Linked DNA regions of Oryzias latipes. The protein of the gene in region 1 interacts with the protein of each later gene in a pairwise test. Links are inferred from orthologs where the notes say so. Each region holds a gene or a part of one and is shown in the gene's direction. Other genes may lie near its edges.

Region 1 (10,284 bases):
GCATCCCTTTTGATGACAATGATATGAAAATCCTTTGCTGCATTTCACTCATGAATACCGGTACACACGTTTGGGCAATGTGAAAAGTTTAGACAAAGCAGTTTAAGGAAAACGCCCCGACTCGTTGATCTGCTTAATTAACTTGACAATCATAGTTTTTATTTGAATCTTTATTGGTGGCTCCAACAGAGCCCAGCAGCTCATCCAGGTCACAACACACCTTCACCGGGTCGTGCTGTGGAGTCGACTCAAGACTCTTGTTGCTGGGTGTTTTTCACATTAGGACACTGTGTTGTGTTTAATAGACAGTAATTTTCTTTAAAAAAAATACTCCCCGTCACAAGGCCAGGTTTTATTTGTTGCTTTTGTGATGACATTTACTTTCTGCTGCTCATGTTTAACACTAAGTTAGCATTTAAAGAGCCACTTTGATAAACAGTTGTGTTTTTGGTGTTTTTAACATGTTCTCGTGGCATTTGTCTGATGGAGGGCTTGTATAAAAAAAAAGCCTAAATTAAATTTTTGTGCATTTCTCCATCAAATTGTTGTGAATCAGGAGCAAATGTAAAAGTGCAGTTAGAAAAAGAGCGGATTTTTATGTCAACGAGCTTCATTCTTCGCTCCATCCTGATGCATCCATTGGTAAACAAATAGATCCATGAATGTCTTTGTTTTCCTCGTCTGAGCTGGAATCTGGATCAAAACTGTACGAATGGATAGCTTTGATGTTTCTCTCCACTTTTGTAGCACCGCTTTTGTTAGGTTAGTGGTTTGAAGGGCTGTAAGCTAGCATGAGAGAGAGTAAACAGTAATGGGGGGGGGGGGGGGGGTCCATGACAACAGTCCCACCCACAACTCGCATTACAACTTCTGCCCCTCTGCAGAAACTATGTCCTATAAAATGACAAGGTTTTTGTTTTTTTTGGCTGAAAACAGTATACCATAATCATACCACCAAAGACTGCCATCTACTTTAAAATAAATCAAAAGATGAGCATAGTGGGATTTTCCAAAGTGTACCTTTTTCTTTCAATATTCATAATTTTCACTGTGTAATTTTGATGTTTGCTTTTACAGCCTGAGTTTTACAGTTACCTTTCAAGCTTGTATTTTATTTAGATCTTTTTAGTAAAACTTCTTCAGATAAATTCTGCATCAGCTTCTCTATCTTCTACTTGGTTAAAGCCATCTAAAGGCCCACAGTCATTTAAAGCCTTTTTCGTTGTCTTGTGTAGTTTTCGTGATCTGTCTGATGGTATGAATAGTGTTTGAGGCCTTTAACTTTTATTGACAAACTCAGAGGAAGATTTCACCAGACCTGATTGCCCTCCTGCAAATTACAACCACTGGTCTTTTGTTTTAATGTTTTCCCAGGTTACCACAAAACTACACACTGCTTTAGATAAACAGTTATGGTGTTATGTGTTTTCACTTTATTTATTTAATTGTATTATTAGGCATAACGTGTTATGTTGTAATAGTGTACATAATTTATTACTTACTTACATTTTACTTTTTTTATATTTTTGCACATTTTTGTATTTGTATACTTGCACATTTGGGAACACCCCTCACTTTTGCACATTGCTGTCCCTTTTCTCTGCTTTTTGGAACTGCTGTGATAATTGAATTTCCCCAATGTGGGATCAATAAAGAAATATCTATCTAAAGTATCCACCTTAACACAAAAAAATCCCTAGGACAATTGAGGGTGGTTAATGTTTGAAGTGACTTAGCTCCTTTCACCTGAAAACCTAGAGGCAGCTCCTTAACATGATCAGGACACGCTGCACTTACTTTTTCCTCCCGGACTGTAGTTTTTGAACTACAATGTGAGCAAATACCTAAAATATTTATATATATGTTCTTTTTTCAAATTTTTCACAGAATCATCCCAGGCGGAGAAGCCTTCAGCAGTTCATGCCACTCAGTCATCGTCGTTGTCGTCATCAGGCTCGGGTGGCGTGAACCCGTCATCTGGGCCGCATGGATCGTCAGCTTCCACAGTGCCTGTCTCTCCGGTTCTTCAGTCGTCAACTCCTCCGTTACTGCAGGACCCCACTCTGTTTCGCCAGCTCCTCCCAGCACTTCAGACCGCACTGCAACTGAACAACGCCAGCGTGGACATGGCCAAAATCAACGAAGGTACAGAAGCTTTTAGGATCTGTAGAATTCCCTTCTCGGCGTTGATCTGTCTCCTTTAACAGCATTTATGCCCAAATCCTACCCCAGCTTGAAGTATTTAACGAATCAAATAAATCCCTTTAAGCATTTGACCAATGGGACGGATGCCTTTTATGTTAGATGCTCGCCTCCTAAGTAGACAAAGGTCATTAAGAGTGTAATTTAAGTTGTGTTGACTTTTATTTCAAATAAAATGTTGCAATGAAATGACGTTTTTGGTTGGTTTGCTATTTTTTCATGTATCGCAACTTATATCATCATTGCAATATTGATCACTAATATCGCAGATCGCGAGTTTTCCTCTTATCGTGCAGCCCTATTCTAATGGCTGTTCTTTCTTTTTTTTTTACCATCTTTGGACTAATGCGGGACAGCAAGTCCTCAGACAGAGTCTCAGAGAAGGACGTCCCACTGAAAGCGACATTCTGTACAGGGAGACTGAATGATCTCATGAACTAGAGCTGTGGATGGTTTTTATTTTATTCTTTTTTTATATATAAATTTAAAAGCGCTCTGTTAAATTTAGAACGATTGCGAATAAGCTATCATGGATGATGCTAAATATTCATCTTTGTATTTTTGGGAACAGATCACAAATATCCAAATATTCGGTTACTCGTTACAGCCGCATCATGACAGTACCAAGACATAGCAACGTTCTTTCTGACGCCTTTGTATAGCTTTAAAAAAAAACATAAATGACGTGTCCTCCATGATGTAGCGATGAGGCTATAAACTTTTGACAGTACCTCTTCCCACACGTGGCGGAAGTGTGTGTGTGAACACACTCTTGGACAACTATCAAGCAGCCAATTCAATTCCATTCCAACTGTCTGGAAAATCGAAGTTCAACCCACAGCCTTTTATTTGATTGAAATTTTAATAAGTAACTCTCCAATTTATGTCTTAAGTAATTCAGTAGTGAAATTGATTCATACTGTATGACCGGTTTTTACTTTAAATAGTTTTTAAGGTTCCCATCAGAAGCAGCAGATTTTCTCCGTGCTTCTTGTCCTCTCTGCAGATCATTGAACAGACGGCTTTGGTTGAACAGTCAGAAGCACATTTACTCGGCGCACATCCGTCATTATGGTCGTTGCCTCCACAGCTCTGCGTCTCCTTGAAGCAGCGAGGAGCTGCAGGAGTGGCTGTCATCCAGTAATTAGGCCTCTGCACACAGATCTGTAGTTTCACATTTCAGTAATTGTGAGTGGGCCGTCTGATCTCCTTGTACAGCTGTTGATGCACCTTTGCTGGCTGCCCACCTATTGGTTTTGTGTGCAAAAACCCTACTGTGACAGAATGATTGTAACACTATATAAGATAAATGTAATATTTGAGAAATCAGAGCAGTCGGATTGTTGCGTCTGCTTTATCCGTCTCCAAATGTTATTGAAGTTCTGCAGAAGCAGATTTCCAGTACCATGAAAATATAACCTTTCCAAATATTGACAGTGTTCAGGTGTTTGCTGAATCCAAGCTTGCAAACAATCATGTATTTGTAGTACCTAGACTATTTGATCTGCATGCCTAACAGCGGGTTTCCTCTTGTTTTTGTGTAGTTCTCACAGCTGCTGTCACACAAGCTTCATTACAGTCGATGCTCCACAAGATCTTCACAGCTGGACCGTCGGCGTTCAATATCACTACGATCCTTTCTCAAGCCGCTCAGCTTTCTAACCAAGGTGAGTTCAGGCTTTGGTGTTGTTGTTGTTTTAAAGACATGTTCTTGTAGCATTTTTCACATGTTTGAAGACATAGACAGAGAAAATTAAGCTTAGAATCACATTTCTGAGTAGTTCTTTATTCAAATTGTCGTGTATTAAGCAGATGGTAAAAAAAAGCTTGTAGTTGTGACGTAGCTCCCTGCTCTGCTCCATTCTGATTCATCCACTTGTAGTGGACTACATCCATGAACGTCTCTGTTTCCTCTTCTGAGCTGGAATCTGGTTCCGAACTGTGCGCCTGGATAGCTCTGAGATTGCTCACCGTTTTTGTTGCACTGCTTATGTTGGGTTGAGGTGTGAGAGGCTGTAAGCTAGTGGAAGAGAGAGTAAACGGATGGGTGACAGGAAGTGGAGGGGGGGGGGCTTACTCCACACCAGCAGATCCACTCCACAACCCAGAGGTGAAATTCTAATTAACTACTGCTGCTCTGCAGAAACTATGTCCTGGAAAATGACACAGGTTGTTTGATTTTTCTCCTAAAATGACATAATCATAATTAAAAGACCACCGGGGACGATTTTACAGTAGATCAAAAGATGCTTAGAGTGGGAGTTGATGAATTTTAGTTTTAATTTACATAATTTACATGTGACAACATGAACACAGAATACACTTTATACAATGACTTTAACACACAGACTGATACAGTCATGCAAGACAAAATAAGACGTTATAAAGTACTGTTTATTCAAACAACAAAAATACAGGAAGGGCTCCTGTTAGTTTAAGGTGCATGTGGGTGTGCTGGTTCAAACACTTCTAAAGCTCTAAAGCCTTAGTCACAACTGCCCTGGCAGGTGGATTAGAGCATCACATGCAAGTGAGTGCAACTTACATTGTCCTTATAAATACTTCACAAAATACTTCCAACACGTACAACAGGAGTATGTTCCATTTTCATGGCGTCTCATTTAAGATGGTTACCCTGAGGCAACTGCAAGACACACCTGTGCTCCTCTAAAGATGCAGCCGCTCCTTTCCACGACCCTCCAATGGCCCAGTCAACCCAAAAACGCACAGCACCGTACGGGTCAACCCCCGCATTCTTAAAGGGTTTCTTATTTAAGAAAAGTGGCTCTGTGTCTAACCATCTCAGAGCAAAAGTGCAGCTTCTCAACCTGACTCCACAACAGATCTAGTGCCACTTTCGTGGGTTTTGGTTTTTAAACTAATAACTCAATTATATTTTGTAAAGTTACTCCACTGGTTACAGAGTAGGGCTATACCATAAAGTACTTATAAATGGGGGGAACAAATCATACAGTGTAGGTAGGACTTAGCAGCCCCGATGGAAATGAAAGGCCTGATTTGTTCCAAGTTTTTATGTTAAATGTCATTTTGCGTTTGTGACCTTCTTAATGACTTAAATAATCAGGTTTGGAGTCCAACTGAAAATACAGCAGACCTCATTTTGGAGTTATTGTATTTACTTTGTTCAATTAAAAAACTTACGCAACAACTGATGAGATAAAAGTCTGAATTTATTTTCTACACTCCTCAACAGGCCAGCAGTCAAATCAGTCACCAATGTCTTTAACATCAGACGCCTCATCACCAAGATCCTACGTTTCCCCGAGAATCAGCACGCCGCAGACCAACGCCGGCCCCCACAAACCCCTCCTCAGCACGCAGCCTGTCATCTCACAGTCAAAGGTAAGACACTGCCACCTCTCAACCAGACTGCACTCTTGTCTGACAACCAGTAAAGTCAGGTCATCTCATTTACAACCAAAGATGAGCAAAGATATGACACAGCCTCATGCCAGCTGGGTGATAGTTGACATTTCTGCAGGTTTTTGCTGCTTGATGGAATCTGTCTTGTAAGGTTTCCCAACAATGAAACATGTCATTTCTGGTCTCTGGGATTCTTGGTTTATGTGAATACGTTGACAGAGAAATTGCGGTTTTTGCGCTGATGCAGAGCTTGCGTTTCAGGTGAATACACCAGCAGTAAAGCAGACGTCTCATTCCCAGCCCACATCCCAGCAGCACCTCTCCAGTGAGAAGTCGCACAGTCACGATGTCACCACGGCCTCCCCGAGAGCCCTCCAACGCCAAGGGTGAGTCCAAACCAGAAGCACTGACATCCTATGACCAAAAATAGGCATCTCTATCAATCTGTTTATGTTTAATTGGATGTAGTTGGTTTATAAATCATCCATTTTCCTCCTTATTATTATTTTAAAGCTGTGAACTACATTTTAATCATCTAAAATATATTATACTTTACCTGGAAATCATTGTAGCCATCCACACCTGAAATCACAGCTTATCTTAAATGAGCAATCAGATGTTTTATTTGGAGTCTTTTGGCACCATCTGCTGGTCATTAGTGGAACTGATTCATTCATAAAGGTCATTTACTGCTGTTCTTTTTTGCTCTCTAGTGCAGTGTTTTTCAACCAGTGTGCCGCGGCACACTAGTGTGCCGTGGGAGATGGTCAAGTGTGCCGTGGAGAAATTGCCCTCATTAATCATTCACTGATCTAAAAACATTTCCCATCTCCAGGATATCAGCTCTTTGTTCATCCAAACAGGCCCTGATAAAACACTGAGTAGTTAGGAATATGAAAGATCTTAAAATTACTTTTTCTTTGTGTTTATTTAATTCTATTAAAGACATTTTGATAAGGATTACGTTACCGCGATTTACCTGCAGCTACTTGATCGCTGTCGATCAATACAGACCATGAATTTCTGTTTTTTTTTTTTTTTTTTTGGATGCTGGTGTGCCGCGGGATTTTTGTCAAGGTTAAAGTGTGCCGTGGCTCAAAAAAGGTTGAAAAACACTGCTCTAGTGAATCAATGACCAGGGCTCCAGACTAACTTTTTTCACTAGGAGCACAGTGGCCCCTAACTGAAAATTTTAGGGGCACAACCAGACAATTTAGGGGCGCATACCGTAAATCAACATGCTAACCAGATCTACTAATTTCCACTGTATTACTAATAAATACTTTAATAATAGATGCAGAAATTACAATATGCTGTTTGAAATTCAGTGTCACATTTTAATCTGCACTTTTGAAGATGCAACAACAAGGTAAACTGACAGCACCATCGCTGTCATGACAGTACAAATAGTTAAGAAAACGGATGGAAATTTATCTTTGTGACACCAAATAGGTGCAGCCAAGATGCACAATAAGCGTGTTTGAGATCACCCAGGTGAACTCAACGCTGCGCAGATCACCTGGTGTGTGACATATTTTTGTTTTTGCTCCAACATCAACTGTCAATCATCACAAAAATATCGCGAGAAAGGGGTGGGAGCAAGGGGCAAACCTACCCGGACACAGCTGGAAACTGAACTGACTGAAAGCTGCCCTACAGACTACAAAACAATGCATTATGGGACATGTGTCCTGATGGTTTTTGTAGTGGAGTGATTAATTAAAATAATTTAAAATACCAATTCATTAAAAAAGGCTACATACATTACAAAACCTTAAAATAATCATAAAATATATAATAACACAGACCCCCCCCCCGCCTGGTCTCCCCAACGATCCAGGCGAGGTGCCGGTTCATCTCAAACACGTCTATCGTTGCATTTTCCCCACGTATTTTCAGTGTGTCTAAAACTAATGTTGTTTTTGCTCGCACGTGTTTAAAGTTCAAGCCCCGTTAGCCGTCACGCATGTAGGTGTGGGACATTTATTCTCCTCAGCTGACCCGACCCCCGCGGGAGCGGTGTGCTGCCGTAACGGCCGTGCATAAACCGTTTGATGCGCCGCCGTAACCGTAACCAAAACCTAAACCTTCCTCCGGGTCTGTGCGGCCCAGAGAAAAGTTCAGCACGGACTGCATGTATTTAGAAAATCACGAGCGAATAAATACGTTCTAAAGGAAAGTAAGGAACTCCTTAATGTGGTCCGGGGAGGGGGCTGTCAGGTTTCCTGCTTTCAAACCCTGTCATTGCCACGCCCCCCAAGAGTCATATACCCCACTGTGATTGGTTGGTCAGCTTCGCGCACGACAATGAAAAAGTGTCATTCATACAAACTGGCGGGCTGCAGTAACATTAAACCTTCATATTAAGGCGGGGACCGCAAAATATCATCTTGGGGGCCGCAAATAGCCCGCGGGCCGCGAGTTTGAGACCCCTGCTGTACACTCTGGCACTGGTACACTAGCCGCAGGTCGGAAGAACGAATCAATAGTTCGCTTACTCATAGCAGCTCAGACGCACATATCAGGTTGTGATGATATTTGTCTCCGTTTCCTTCCCACAGATGTTTACGCGCGCTCGATTATCTCTAGGCCCCTCCCCCTACACGCATTTCAGCCACTCACAGTGGCTTTCCCTATTCTTCTCACACGCAGTGGCCGCCTCACAGACAGGTATCACGCGAGAGTATACGTGCTCGCGTTTCATGAGTATGTGCGCGAGTATGTGCGCCTGCCTGCGTCCGTGTGCGCTTGCCTGCGTGCGTGTGCGCTCGCGTCTCATTGATTATTTCATTGATCATTGACGTGCCCCTTCCACGTCAATGACCACCCTTCGTAAAAAATACGAAGGGTGGGGGAGGCAAATTTACTGGTCACGCATGTGCGACTGGATGTAAAATTCAGTCGCACACTCTCAAATTTTGGTCGCAAAATGCGACCAATTGCTCGCAGTCTGGAGCCCTGATGACGTAAGATTTATTGTAAACAAGAGAAACAATGGAGGGTTACAGTAGTTTCATTGAAAGGAAGGATAAATATCTTTTTAATCCAGTTTTATTAGATGACACTTCAACTGAAATGGTTTGTTCAGACCTTTTTTTCCTTATTTTTGAAGATATTGCTGGTTTGAAGCAGTTGAAGAATTGATAAATAAATCTCTTCCAGTTTAAATTGTAACCAGTGATTGTAAATTTAATAATGCTGCACAACTTGCAGTGCATGTTACTCTGCTTATGTACGGATTTTAAATACCGGTAACTGTAATACCTCCACACACTGGGGCAAAATGTAATTTTTATGTAACCGACCAAGTTGACTGTATTATAAAAAAAACGTATATTTTTAACAAATTGTAACACTATTTTACACAGACTATTCGGAATATTTTTAAGGAAATGAAAATGCATAAAAGTAATTTATTAATGCTGTAAACACGTCTTTTTCATCTAACTGTAAACTTTAATTCAAACATGCTGAGAAAACAAAAAACAGATTTACTAGAGATTTCCCTGTTCTGCTTCCAGGTGATCAGGTTTCATATTAAATCAGAACAAAAACAGCATAATGTTGATCTTGTCATTATATATCATTTACATTAAATCTGAAGGAGGAAGGTGGTAGTGAGATTCAGCAAAAACATCTGACAGCTCACAGTTTTTGGTGTAACACCAGCTCAACGCTACAAGGACGCTGCTAAAACAGAGCGGATTCACTTCAATTATATTTAGAGAATATCCGTTCTGGAGACTTTTTTTCTATTTAGCTTCTACTTTGACAGCAGTTATGGGTTAGGGAAGCTCCATGTCTCATTTTAGTGGAACCCACATAAAATCCAGTGTACTAATAAAGTTTAAAGCAGCTGCAGATATTGGACTTGCATCAAGAATAAGTTGGATGTAGTGGAGAGAATCCAGTAGTTTTCCAAAGTAAAACTTCCTTCAGAATCAGAATATAAATAAAACGGCAGAACTGTGGGTTGTGGGTTTTTTCCTCCGTTTCAAAGCTTCTGCAGAAACATCTTGTATGACTGCATGTTTTTTTCCCCTCCATGTAGCAGTCAGAGGAGTCCGTCTCCAGGTTCCAACCACGTCGCCTCCAGCAGCAACGCCCCCAACTCCGCCTCCGCTCCCCCGGCCTCTTCTACATCCCGGCCCTCCTGTTCCTTCACCCCCTCCCTTGCGGCCCATTTCAATGAGAGCCTCATCAAGCATGTGCAGGGCTGGCCCGCAGAACACGTGGAGAAGCAGGTCAGTGTCCACCGCACACCTCCCCTCCCTCCTTCTTGGCTCCGCCCCATTTAAGTTTGCCTCCGTCTCCCCAAAGGCGTCCAGACTCCGCGAGGAGGCTCACACCATGGGCAGCATATGCATGTCGGAGAACTGCACTGAGCTCAAAAACCTGCGCTCCCTCGTCCGGGTCTGTGAAATTCAGGCGACGTTGCGCGAGCAGAGGTGAGTCGTCCGCACGCTTTCTGTTGCTGCGTCCAAACCCCCCCATCTCACTCCTGCTCTCTGTTCTTCTGCCCCCTCCCTTACAGGATATTGTTTTTGAGACAGCAAATCAAAGAACTTGAAAAGTTGAAGAACCAGAATTCCTTCATGGTGTGAGAACTTTTGGTGGGGGGTTTGGGGGGGTGTCCGGAGGTTGTGGGGAGCGGGGTTGTCATTGCACATACTAGGAAGCCGGCAAGAAAAACGGTTC
Region 2 (10,320 bases), on another chromosome or scaffold:
ACTGCTCCTTATTACTTCCAGTGAACTATCATTCAGCTTCATAAAAAGAAAAAAACAACAACAACACAGGTACTTAGTATTTTTGCCCACAATTTAGGTGCTGTGCTGACCCAAATTAAGTAATACACCATAGTCACTTATCATTAGTAGTTTAATAAATTAAATACTTTCAAAAGGACTTCATGCAATTTATGTACCGTAGTTATTATACCCTCCACTTTTGTTTTTTTCAGGCAAACGTTTTGCTCCATTTTACTAACAACTTAGGGTTCCATTTGACCATTTTTAGACACTTCTAAACAACTTTTAGCTAAAATCACATAATTTTTCCAAAACATCAAAAGTACTTTACTTTATACCTGTACATGCTGGTGTTTTGTCCTCTGAGCCCATTTTGGATGAATTTTAACCCGTGTTTATATATATGGATTGTAGATCTACCAGTATTGGAAATATCATAAGAATTGTGTTTGTCTTTATTTTTATTGGTACAATGCGCACAGAGTGCAAAAACAGACCATGTCTTTGTCACAAGAACTGGCTATCTCCATCACATTAGTACCAGGTTCATGCAGAGTTCACGCTGATTTGATAATAAATAAGACTAAAGTTCAATTTTCAATCTAAATGGCCTACATTAGGATATTTTTGGTTTAAGTCAATATTGACTTCAAACATATTGTGAATGTTTATAGTTTTGACAGTATTGGAGGGTCATAATAATCTTACATACTATCTAAATCAAAAGTTTGTTTTGACGTTTCTCTGTAAACTTTATTTTAAGAGGTAACACAATTTGTGAAGAAAAAATAGTGAAAATCCTGTTTGAGTTAACTCCCTATCGTGAATAAAAAGTATTTGGACAAAATATTTTACCTTTCTTGGTCATTCTATGACATTTTACATTGTAATACAGTCATGGGGATATGAGGGTTGAAGAACCTTTAGTCCAATGACATAACATAAAGTGACCAGAAGGGGCCGCTATACACTAAACAAAACTTGAAGCAGTTATATCTATATGACGCAAGTCGGTGACTTTTATGAGTTTATTGAATAGTTGATTTGAATAAAAGTTATCTTATTAAATCCCAGCGGTAGTTATTTCTTTCATAGATCATAACTTTTACATGATAACCACTGATATGTTGTGCAACAGTTATCTCTACCATTGTAAAACTGCTGCATCTGAGCCCAGTTGGCCCAACGCGCATGCTCACTGAGTGCTTCCCTTCATTCTCATAGGCCGTCGTGAGTGGGCCGACCCCAGCGGGCGGGCCACCAGCTCCCTAACGTTTACCAGCCTTGGCTGAGGCAATATTTCCCGAAAGTCCGGTGCCGCTGTGACGGGCCCCTTGTGGCGTTTGGTTGCTCATCATTTTATCTAAAAAAATTTGGATTATCACTACTATTTCTCCGTCTTTGGGCGTTTAAGCTGCGGGACAATGATGGAGATGGGAGATTCCAACCAGGTAAACATAAATATACATTTTATTTTTATTAGAGATCGGACAATTATAGTTTCACAGTAATCTTTAAAGAAATTTGGACTTCGCGCTGTGTTTCATATATATTCAGTTTCTATAACAGGCTTTTATTGCGAAAACAAAAATGTTGTGAGGATGTTTTGCGTCAACCTGTCTCTTAAGCTAGCTACTCACTCAGCTGATGGCTCTGGATATTTAAGATTATTTTCTGAAAGTTGTCAGTCTTTCACATTCATTGACTTACAAAACTCAGATCTTGTTATTGTAATGCATGATTCTATAACATGTAGCCTTTTTTTCTCTCAAAGTTGGGTGAAGTTTTGTATAAACAGATTGGAATCTTGCTTCCTTATGACTGGCCCTCCAACGCCATCCCATAACTAGAACTACTAGCATGTGATTCCGTGTCTAATGCAGTGAAGTCTTTTATAACCAATGTGAAACTGTTAGAGTAGCGATTTGCTTGTATCTTCCTTAAAACATAACATTAGCATCTGCTTTCGCTCTTCCCCTTTTTGGTGTCACATGATATAGAACCACAGCTTGAGGTCGCTCGTGTTTTTTTCATGTAAATATAAATTAAGCTAATAATATCAAGGAATTGAGGTTAGCTTAATTTTTTGTTGTTGCTGTGTTTGGTTTAACGTTCCCCCGAAATGACTAAGTTTAGCTATGTTTTAGGTTCTTCAAAAGTTGTGTCGTTACTGTCTGTCTGGTTTTCCATACAAATACAAATTAAGCTAATAATAATCAATATAGGAATTAAGTTAGTTTACGTAATATCCGCTGCTTTTGGTTCAACGCCCCCCTGAAAGACTCATTCAGCCATGTTTTAAGTTTTGTAAAAGCTGTGTGTCGTCATTGCCAGAACATAATGTTATAAGTTTGTGTAATATAAACACAAGTTCCCTTTTACTCGACTTTGTTTACATTAAAGTAGGCATACATTGCAGGAGTTATCAATGATTTCGGTTGGTCTTGGTACATTCCGTTTCTATTTTAGAAGTAGTACATGATGGTTGTGTTGGTTTAGCTGCTCACCGCCTGCGTATTATCTGGGAAATTTGAGAATGTTCCCGTGTTAAGCTTCCTTGTTCACGTGCCAGTCAGACTGTGGTGAATCAAGGTCACGGTGTCGGAAGAAAAAAACAAAACAAAACAAAGAAATGCACACACCAACTGTTTGTCTGCTTAATCTATACCATCTAAAGATTTTTAAGATGTTATTATATGTAGTCCTTCTGAATCTACAGTTGGTTTTTGGAAAAATGAATTGTGTTGAACGCTTGATTGTATTTTTACATTGTATTTATTGGATTTTTAAGAAAGCTGTCAAACTGGTTTCAGAATGTGCTTCTTTTCTAGTCGTTTTTTTTTTCCCTTTTCTTTAATTCAGGTGTGGTCACAACAGTGTTAGGGGGTCTGCAGCATTTTAGGGAACTTCCTCATTCCTATAGCCACCATAATTCCTGGTTTTGGGCTTCTACACTCTTTGCCATGATTTATGCTCACCAGCCTTAGTAATGAGTAATGCTTTAATGGTCCAGCTTCTGATGCAACACTCAAGCACAGACTTAGTGGGTTCTTATTTTGCTTTGCCGCTGTCTCAAAGTCTGTGTCAACAGTGACCAAAATATTTTCCCGTTTGTTAATGATTATTTATGCTGCATGTCTTTTCTTTTAGGTAAAAAAAAGAGAATTGTTGATATTGTTCAGTGCAGTTTCACAGCCTGTTAGTGGATTGTTTTAATGTCTGCTTTTTGTTCCTTTTTTCTAGTTTTTTTTGGTTGTTTCAGTCTGCGAAAACCACAAAACAGAATATTATAAAGCTCATATGCTACTTTCATAGGAATTTGGGGGAGAAAAAAAAAGTCATATGGTCTGGTGGTTTTTTTCTGTGGAAGAGTATCTTGGGTTTATGCAATATCCTGAGGCCTTATGAAATAGTTTTCTTCTGTAAATAAATTATGGTGAAAAAAAATCCCTAAGAGCGTAGCATAATTTGTCTTTAAGAGTGTTGTTTGAAAGTTAAGTAACATTTGAGTCTGTGAGAGCAATTTGAAAGGAAATGGTTAGAAAACATTTTCATGCTTATTTCTATGTAAACCCAGAATTCAAAATGGACTTTTGTTTTGCAAACTTGTCCAGAGATTACCGTAGCTGTCCACAGACATGGATGGAACAAAGTTTATATCATGTCTAACGTTCAACCCTTACACTCCTGCAATGTTTACCCTAAACTTTATGAAGTTATTTGTGTAACATTTTTTCTTTCCAGATCATGCTATACATGTACGATCACTCATTCTTATTCTTATCTTATAAAGGCTACCAAATAAAAGCACTTGAGGCTAGTTTACCAGAGTGAAATTTAATCTGATCATTGAGACCTTACCTGACTGTCCGGGAGATTAAACGAGACAAAAGAATTCACACTTTGGAGTAATGAGATGGGTATACGTGTCAAATTGGGATTCTGCTTGTGTGTGGCGGCAACAAGGGAAACAGAGAAGCATGTTTATTATTCATAGCCATTCTCCCTCGTGACATTAACTCCAGTGTTGCTGTGAGCGAACAGATACGGAGGGGACAGGGTGTGGCAGGTGCAAAAGCCATGTTTCACAGCAGGGACAATAATTCTCCTTTCAGCACTAAGCGTATTCTCTCTGCAGGAGTGCACAATGGCTTCCAACTCTTTTGTTTGCGGTTGTTTTTTCAGGACCTGGACTTGATTGACATACTTTGGAAGCAGGACATCGACCTCGGTGCCAGGCGAGAGGTTTTCGACTACAACCATCGGCAGAAGGAGCACGAGCTGCAGCGGCAGCGCCAGTTGGAGGAAGAAAAGAAGCTGCATTTGCTGCGGGAGCAAGAGAAGGCCCTGCTGGCGCAGCTGAAGCTAGATGAAGAGACTGGAGAGTACATACCTCACACAAAACCCATCCTCCCTCCGCAGCAGGCTGTCGTATCCATCGAAATTTCTCAGGTACAGGCACATTGTAATATTATTTGTGTCAGAGGTGGGCCACTCCCTCTTCATTCAATGGGCTCTGCTTGGATGATTGCAGGATGCTAACTTCACTGAGGAGACTGGAGATGGCATGTCATTTGACGAATGTTTGCAACTGCTGGCAGAGACATTTCCTGTAGGGGAAACTGAGGTAAGAGTTTCATCTCTAATTGCCACAAATTCACAGCCTATGGTATGACTTCTGGTTTACAAATGTATGTTTGCCGCGCAGAATCCTTCAGTTTGCATGGAGCTGCCTCCTGTCTCGGTGTACCCCAGTGGCACCATGATGCCCTCTGAACAGCCGGCCCTGTCCCCCGCTGTCCTCCCAAACCCGCTGACTCCTCCACAAAGAGTTACCCCCGATCTGGAGGAGGCCTGGATGGAGATTCTGTCCCTCCCAGAGCTTCAGGTATAATTCCCATTTTTGTTTGGAACAAATATTCAAATGAACAAAAGGAGGCTTGGGCTAAATTATTTGTGAGAGATGCAAATAAATAGAAAATGTCTCTGCTCATTTTCTTACAGAATATTTTTATTGCTTTGGCAGTTGAAAGCATTAAAAACATTACACGTTCACAGTTTGGTGCTGTGACCTTAAAGTTGCAGAACTGGTAGGCGTGTAGTTCGGGGAAGGTGCGGCACTAATGATGCTTATGCTAACTGGGTAAAAGGTGTAGACATTTTTTTTTTGTCTCTTTCCGGTAGCTACACCTCATATTTGCATTAGCCAAAGGGCGGAGTTTAGTCGTGTTACTTGCCTAGTCCTGTCCCTCTGTGCACTAGATTACAATGATAACCATGAGGCTTAACATGATTGGGCAAGCTGCTAAAACTAGCTCAGAAGCAAAAAATGGATGTTTGGAATTGTTGTACGAAAGGTTCAAAAAGCATGGAAACTATGTTCCCATGTTTTAGGATTATCCATTTACATCATTAGGTGTGAACTAGCTCCATATGTGCTATTGGTACAACACCACTCAAATGGAGCAGCTCTTGATTTCAAGCCTGGGCTTCTCTGATTTAGAACCAATTTCTGCCAATAGATGTTTAGATTTTAATGCTGTCTACCTACATAATTCTAAAACCATTTAAAATTAATGAGCCTTATGGAAACTGTGCCCTTATTATTTTTTTCTCCCCCTAAACTTTGTGTCTTTTTATCTTCCAACAGTGTTTCAAAATGCAAGTGGATGAAACAATGGAGGCCACAAATTTTCCGATTCAGACCAGTCCTCAAGTGCAGAATCCAAGTTACCCAAACAACCAGTTGTTCCCAAATACTCCTTACTACCCTATGCCCAGTGCCTCAGATTTAAAAACAAAAAATTTAAATGTTGGTCCCGGAGAATTCATGAATACTTGTGATGGCCCTGTTCCCAGTATGGCTCCATCTGACATCAGCCAGATAAATGTGGAAGACCCTCAGGTGAATCCAAACTTTACCCCAGACAGCTTTTGTTCCAGTGTCTTTTATCCTGACACCATCGTGGAAGAGAGCAGCAGTCAGCATGGCCACGAGGAAAGTGAAAATGTGTCCGAGATACCAAGCAAGCCCTCGTTTACGCCCATGGACCTGTACACCCTTTCACCTGAAGATGTGTTTGACAGAAGCAAACGGCTGCCAGCAGATTTCCCAGATTCAGATTCAGGAATTTCGACTCACTCCAGTCCTTATTCCAGCTCCCCCAGCAAATCTGCTTATGGAGGGGGCTCCTATAATTTTAGTGATTCCGAAATGGACGACCTGGACCACAACCCCGGCAGTGCTGAGTCTGACTACTCGGAGATGTTCAGCTTGAATTTCCAACCCGAGGATCTTGAACTAGCAAAACCAGAGTCGGAACAGACTGGGCAGTGCAAGCAGCTCGACAAGAAACCAAAGCAACATATGGAAGATCCGGCTGAAGAGAGTGGTCACAGCGGCACACCGTTCACCAAAGACAAACCAAAGAAACGCTCCGATGTGCGTCTCTCTCGAGATGAGCAGAGGGCGAAGGCCCTTAAAATCCCCTTCACAGTCAGCATGATCATCAACCTGCCCGTCGATGACTTTAACGAGATGATGTCAAAGCACGAGCTGAACGAGGCCCAGCTGGCCCTGGTCCGCGACATTCGTCGCCGTGGCAAGAACAAGGTAGCCGCTCAAAACTGCCGCAAACGCAAGATGGAGAACATAGTGGGTCTGGAGCATGAACTGGACTTGCTAAAGGAAGAAAAAGAGCGTCTGCTGGACGAGAAGAGTAAAAACGCCACAAACCTGAAGGAAATGAAGCGACAGCTTAACAGCTTGTACCTGGAGGTCTTTGGCAAGTTGAGGGATGAGAAGGGGAATTCATACTCCCCGTCGGAGTACTCCCTGCAGCAGTCCACAGACGGCAGCATCTTTCTCGTCCCTCGCATGAAAAAGACTTTTAAGATCTAGGAAAGCCACTTTTCGCCTTTGTAATAGTGTATTTCAGCACCATAGAAACTATGCAATAACTTTGTAGTAGCTCAGCTTTAAGGTGTGGCAGCCTGGTGGAAGCATTCATTCGTTTTTGCTAACGTCTCATGAATGTTGTAATATTTTTGATATTTTACTTATTTTATACTCCAATATTGTCACAGTCTCTATAAACAATATTTTGTAAATATTAAGCCTCACCTGCTATTGAGATTCCTAAGAATGTCCTGTGCGTGTATATATTGTATATATATCATATTTCCGTATGCCTGTGATTCTGTCAGTTACTTTTTATAACTCATCTAATTTGCTGTCCAGTTAATTTAAATTCTTTCTTCTATGCTTTTAAATAAACAATTTAAAAACCTAGTGATTGAAATGTTTTTTTGTTCCAGCACACCATTCAAGCAGAGCCCATCAAATAAAAAAGCAAAGGGAGGGATCTGCAGCCTTTACAGAGATTACATAACAAACCAGATATTGGAGCCAAGTTAGATGAAAAGCTTTAGAAAGGGGCTTGGGAAGCAAACATGCTGCAGGATTTATCATCCATTACCTGCTTTCTATTAAAGCAAACATGGTTGCATAGTAACTTTAATATCGTTGACTCCCTTTAAAATAAATACATTTTGTGTGGTTGCATAACCAAATGCACAGAATATGGTAGCAAAGGCTAACACCGTCATGATCCGTGTGGCTTTCACTATACATGAACTCTCACACACAGGCACTGTCTCACCTTTGATCACCAAAACCATTCCCACTAAGTTAAACAGGTGAAAGGGTTTGATGCACCGTGATGAAATCAAAGTGACAAAACACCTCATTGACAGTTTTATTTCACAAACTCGATTTATTGCACAACAGATATTTGCAGATCGTCAATGAAAGGAGACCATAAAAAAAAAAAAAAGTTTTCTAAAATAAAAGGACATAAAACGTGTTCTACAAAAATAGTTTCAATTTAATGAAGCACCAACGCATTGAATAGAAATCAACAAATTAACCAGAGCTTAAATAGTAAATGGCGTTATACACAGTAACTTTATAACAGAGACCAATGCTCGCCATGTTTTTCTGCCTCAGTACTTCTTCCCTTTATGGCCGTTATCTGGTTTCTGCAGACCTTAGTGATGAGCTAAATCAATGTGATTAGAAATAAAAATGCAGAAAACACCACTGAATAATGGTACTTTTACTATTAGTAGTATACCATATATTAGTTTTAGCTTGAAAATTATATATTTTTTCCATATATACCTAGTGTTCATGATTTCATTTTGTTCTGTTGATGCATGTTTAAGCATCTCATGTCTGCATAGGAACAGTTTATTTCTTGGTTTTGTTTAAAAAGTGGTATTAAAAATGGTATTAAAATGATCTATTTTATTTGTTGGGATAAAATGCAGTAGAAACACATTATTGCCTTTCTAAACATAGAAAATGTCCTTTTTTTGGGTTCTCTGATTTTATTCCTGCAACAAACCTGCAAATGTTGAAACAGCAAAAGCTTTCAGATATTAAAATACATATTTCAGTAGGACTATATACACAGACGGTGCTGTGCATCAACCTTCTAGCTATTGTGACCAATGTGGTTGTTCTTGATGCCAAAGCTGTTCATAAAGTATGTTAGGGTAATACAAATTTTTTCTTTTCCACAGAAAAAAGTGATCTGTGTATTGATTTCAATATTTGAACGTTTAAAGAAAAGTGAATGTCGCTGTATAGGTGATATTCACATTTGATTTCGTTTTGTGTTCTATATTGGAGAGACACAAACATAGACTTTTGACAAAATGTCACACTTGATCCGTTTTAAAATGTTTTGGACCTATTTTAAACATTTTTATTGTTAGTTTTTTTTTTTAGAAGTAAAACATCTCAAAGCTGTTCATCTCATTCATTTCCATTTTATTTTAAAAAAATCATATACACAAGAACAAATGTGGCTGGAAAATTCTGAAAATAAATACAAATCTAATCAAAATCAGCTAATTAAAAAAAAACAGACATGGGCTTTTATAAAACAAAATCTAAACTAATGAAACAGGCCTGGACAAAAACAACTGTACCGCTTAAGGATCAACACAATTTTTCATTTGAGCATGATTAATTTAGCTGTGTCTGAATAGTATTATAGTTGTCTAACATTCAGATCGTCTGAAAGGTGACAATTAGTCACTGTGTTGATCCATTGATTAAGAATTAGTTATCTTTAGGAGATTTAAAATAAAAATAGTAAAAAATGAACAAAAAAAGAATTTCAAAACAAGCACGTAAAGACTAAACTGGCCTAAAAAAAGATAGTAAAAAAAAGATAATGTAGTTAAGGAACTGAGAACAACCTCCAAAACCAAAAAAAGACAAAGCACAAGTTTTTCCAAAGTGGACCTTTTAAGAGAAGACCAAGAAGAGGAAATTTAATAAAAAATAAAATCATGATGAAAGAAAAACAAAACAAACAAAAAAGAAAAGATTGCCACAACATACATTTTAGGGAGAAGTTTTTTTCTTTCTTTTAGAAGGACTAGATTTCTGGTGATCAGCTCCAGAATCACAAAGCATTCCAGCTAAAGGAGACAGTCAGATGTAAAACACGGTGGAGGCTTGTCTATGATCTTTGTTACATCTGGCACAAGGTGTCCCAATTCTGTGCAAAGAAGATTGTTCAATGACATTCCAAGACTATCCAGGCATTCTGGATTAAGATAAGTTACAGAAACATGGAGCTATCCTTCCAGCCAGAGAACTGGTTCTCCTTGTGATGGAGGTGGACAAAAAAAATAACCCTTATGTAACAAACTCGTGTTTGATGCCAACATTTTTGCCCAGGTCTGTTTCTTTAGTTTAACCTTAAAGTAACCTTTTTTTACTTCCAAATTTAAGATTTTATTTCAGATCGGAAGCCACGATTACACCGCCCTGGGCAATGCACGTTCAAGTGGCCACTTTCAATGAAAAGTCTGTATAAATGAGCGTTATGGACTTCTTCTGCGTTCAAAACTTTTGCATTCACACGTAGATACGCAAATTTCTACGATCGCTTTCCAACTCAGCGCACAAAATGCACAGTCCTTGAATGTGTTTGAAAGTTAAACCAGGATGAACTGTGTCCAATCAGGGACTCTGATTTGGTAGTGAGGCATGGATGGCGTCTTTTAATTAATTGAATGGCCAATTGTTTGAAAATTGATCATGGAGAAAAAATTATCAAGTGCGGTCTGTGACTGGCTGGAATTCTATAACACCAAGTCTTTCATGCATCGGAATAGAGCTGTGAAAGAAAAATCCTGGAGCAAGATTGGCGAGATTTGCGGCGCTTTGACATTTCGCATGAAGACTCTACCCACCGTGGCAGACATGAGTTAGTAAAC

What was found.
Region 2: the proteins of wac (region 1) and nfe2l2 interact in a two-hybrid assay, tested with the Homo sapiens proteins (2 studies listed by BioGRID and IntAct). The two-hybrid records come from large-scale screens. The link is inferred for Oryzias latipes from reciprocal best matches to the Homo sapiens genes WAC and NFE2L2.

Annotation. Positions count from the first base shown.
Region 1 is NC_019878.2:7,917,656-7,927,939, reverse strand, and holds part of wac (WW domain-containing adapter protein with coiled-coil), read left to right. Parts: intron 1-1,887; coding exon 1,888-2,145; intron 2,146-3,746; coding exon 3,747-3,869; intron 3,870-5,416; coding exon 5,417-5,565; intron 5,566-5,847; coding exon 5,848-5,972; intron 5,973-9,637; coding exon 9,638-9,830; intron 9,831-9,906; coding exon 9,907-10,034; intron 10,035-10,120; coding exon 10,121-10,190; 3' UTR 10,191-10,284.
Region 2 is NC_019879.2:22,676,234-22,686,553, reverse strand, and holds nfe2l2 (nuclear factor erythroid 2-related factor 2), read left to right. Parts: upstream 1-1,276; 5' UTR 1,277-1,445; coding exon 1,446-1,472; intron 1,473-4,206; coding exon 4,207-4,473; intron 4,474-4,555; coding exon 4,556-4,648; intron 4,649-4,729; coding exon 4,730-4,909; intron 4,910-5,671; coding exon 5,672-6,922; 3' UTR 6,923-7,312; downstream 7,313-10,320.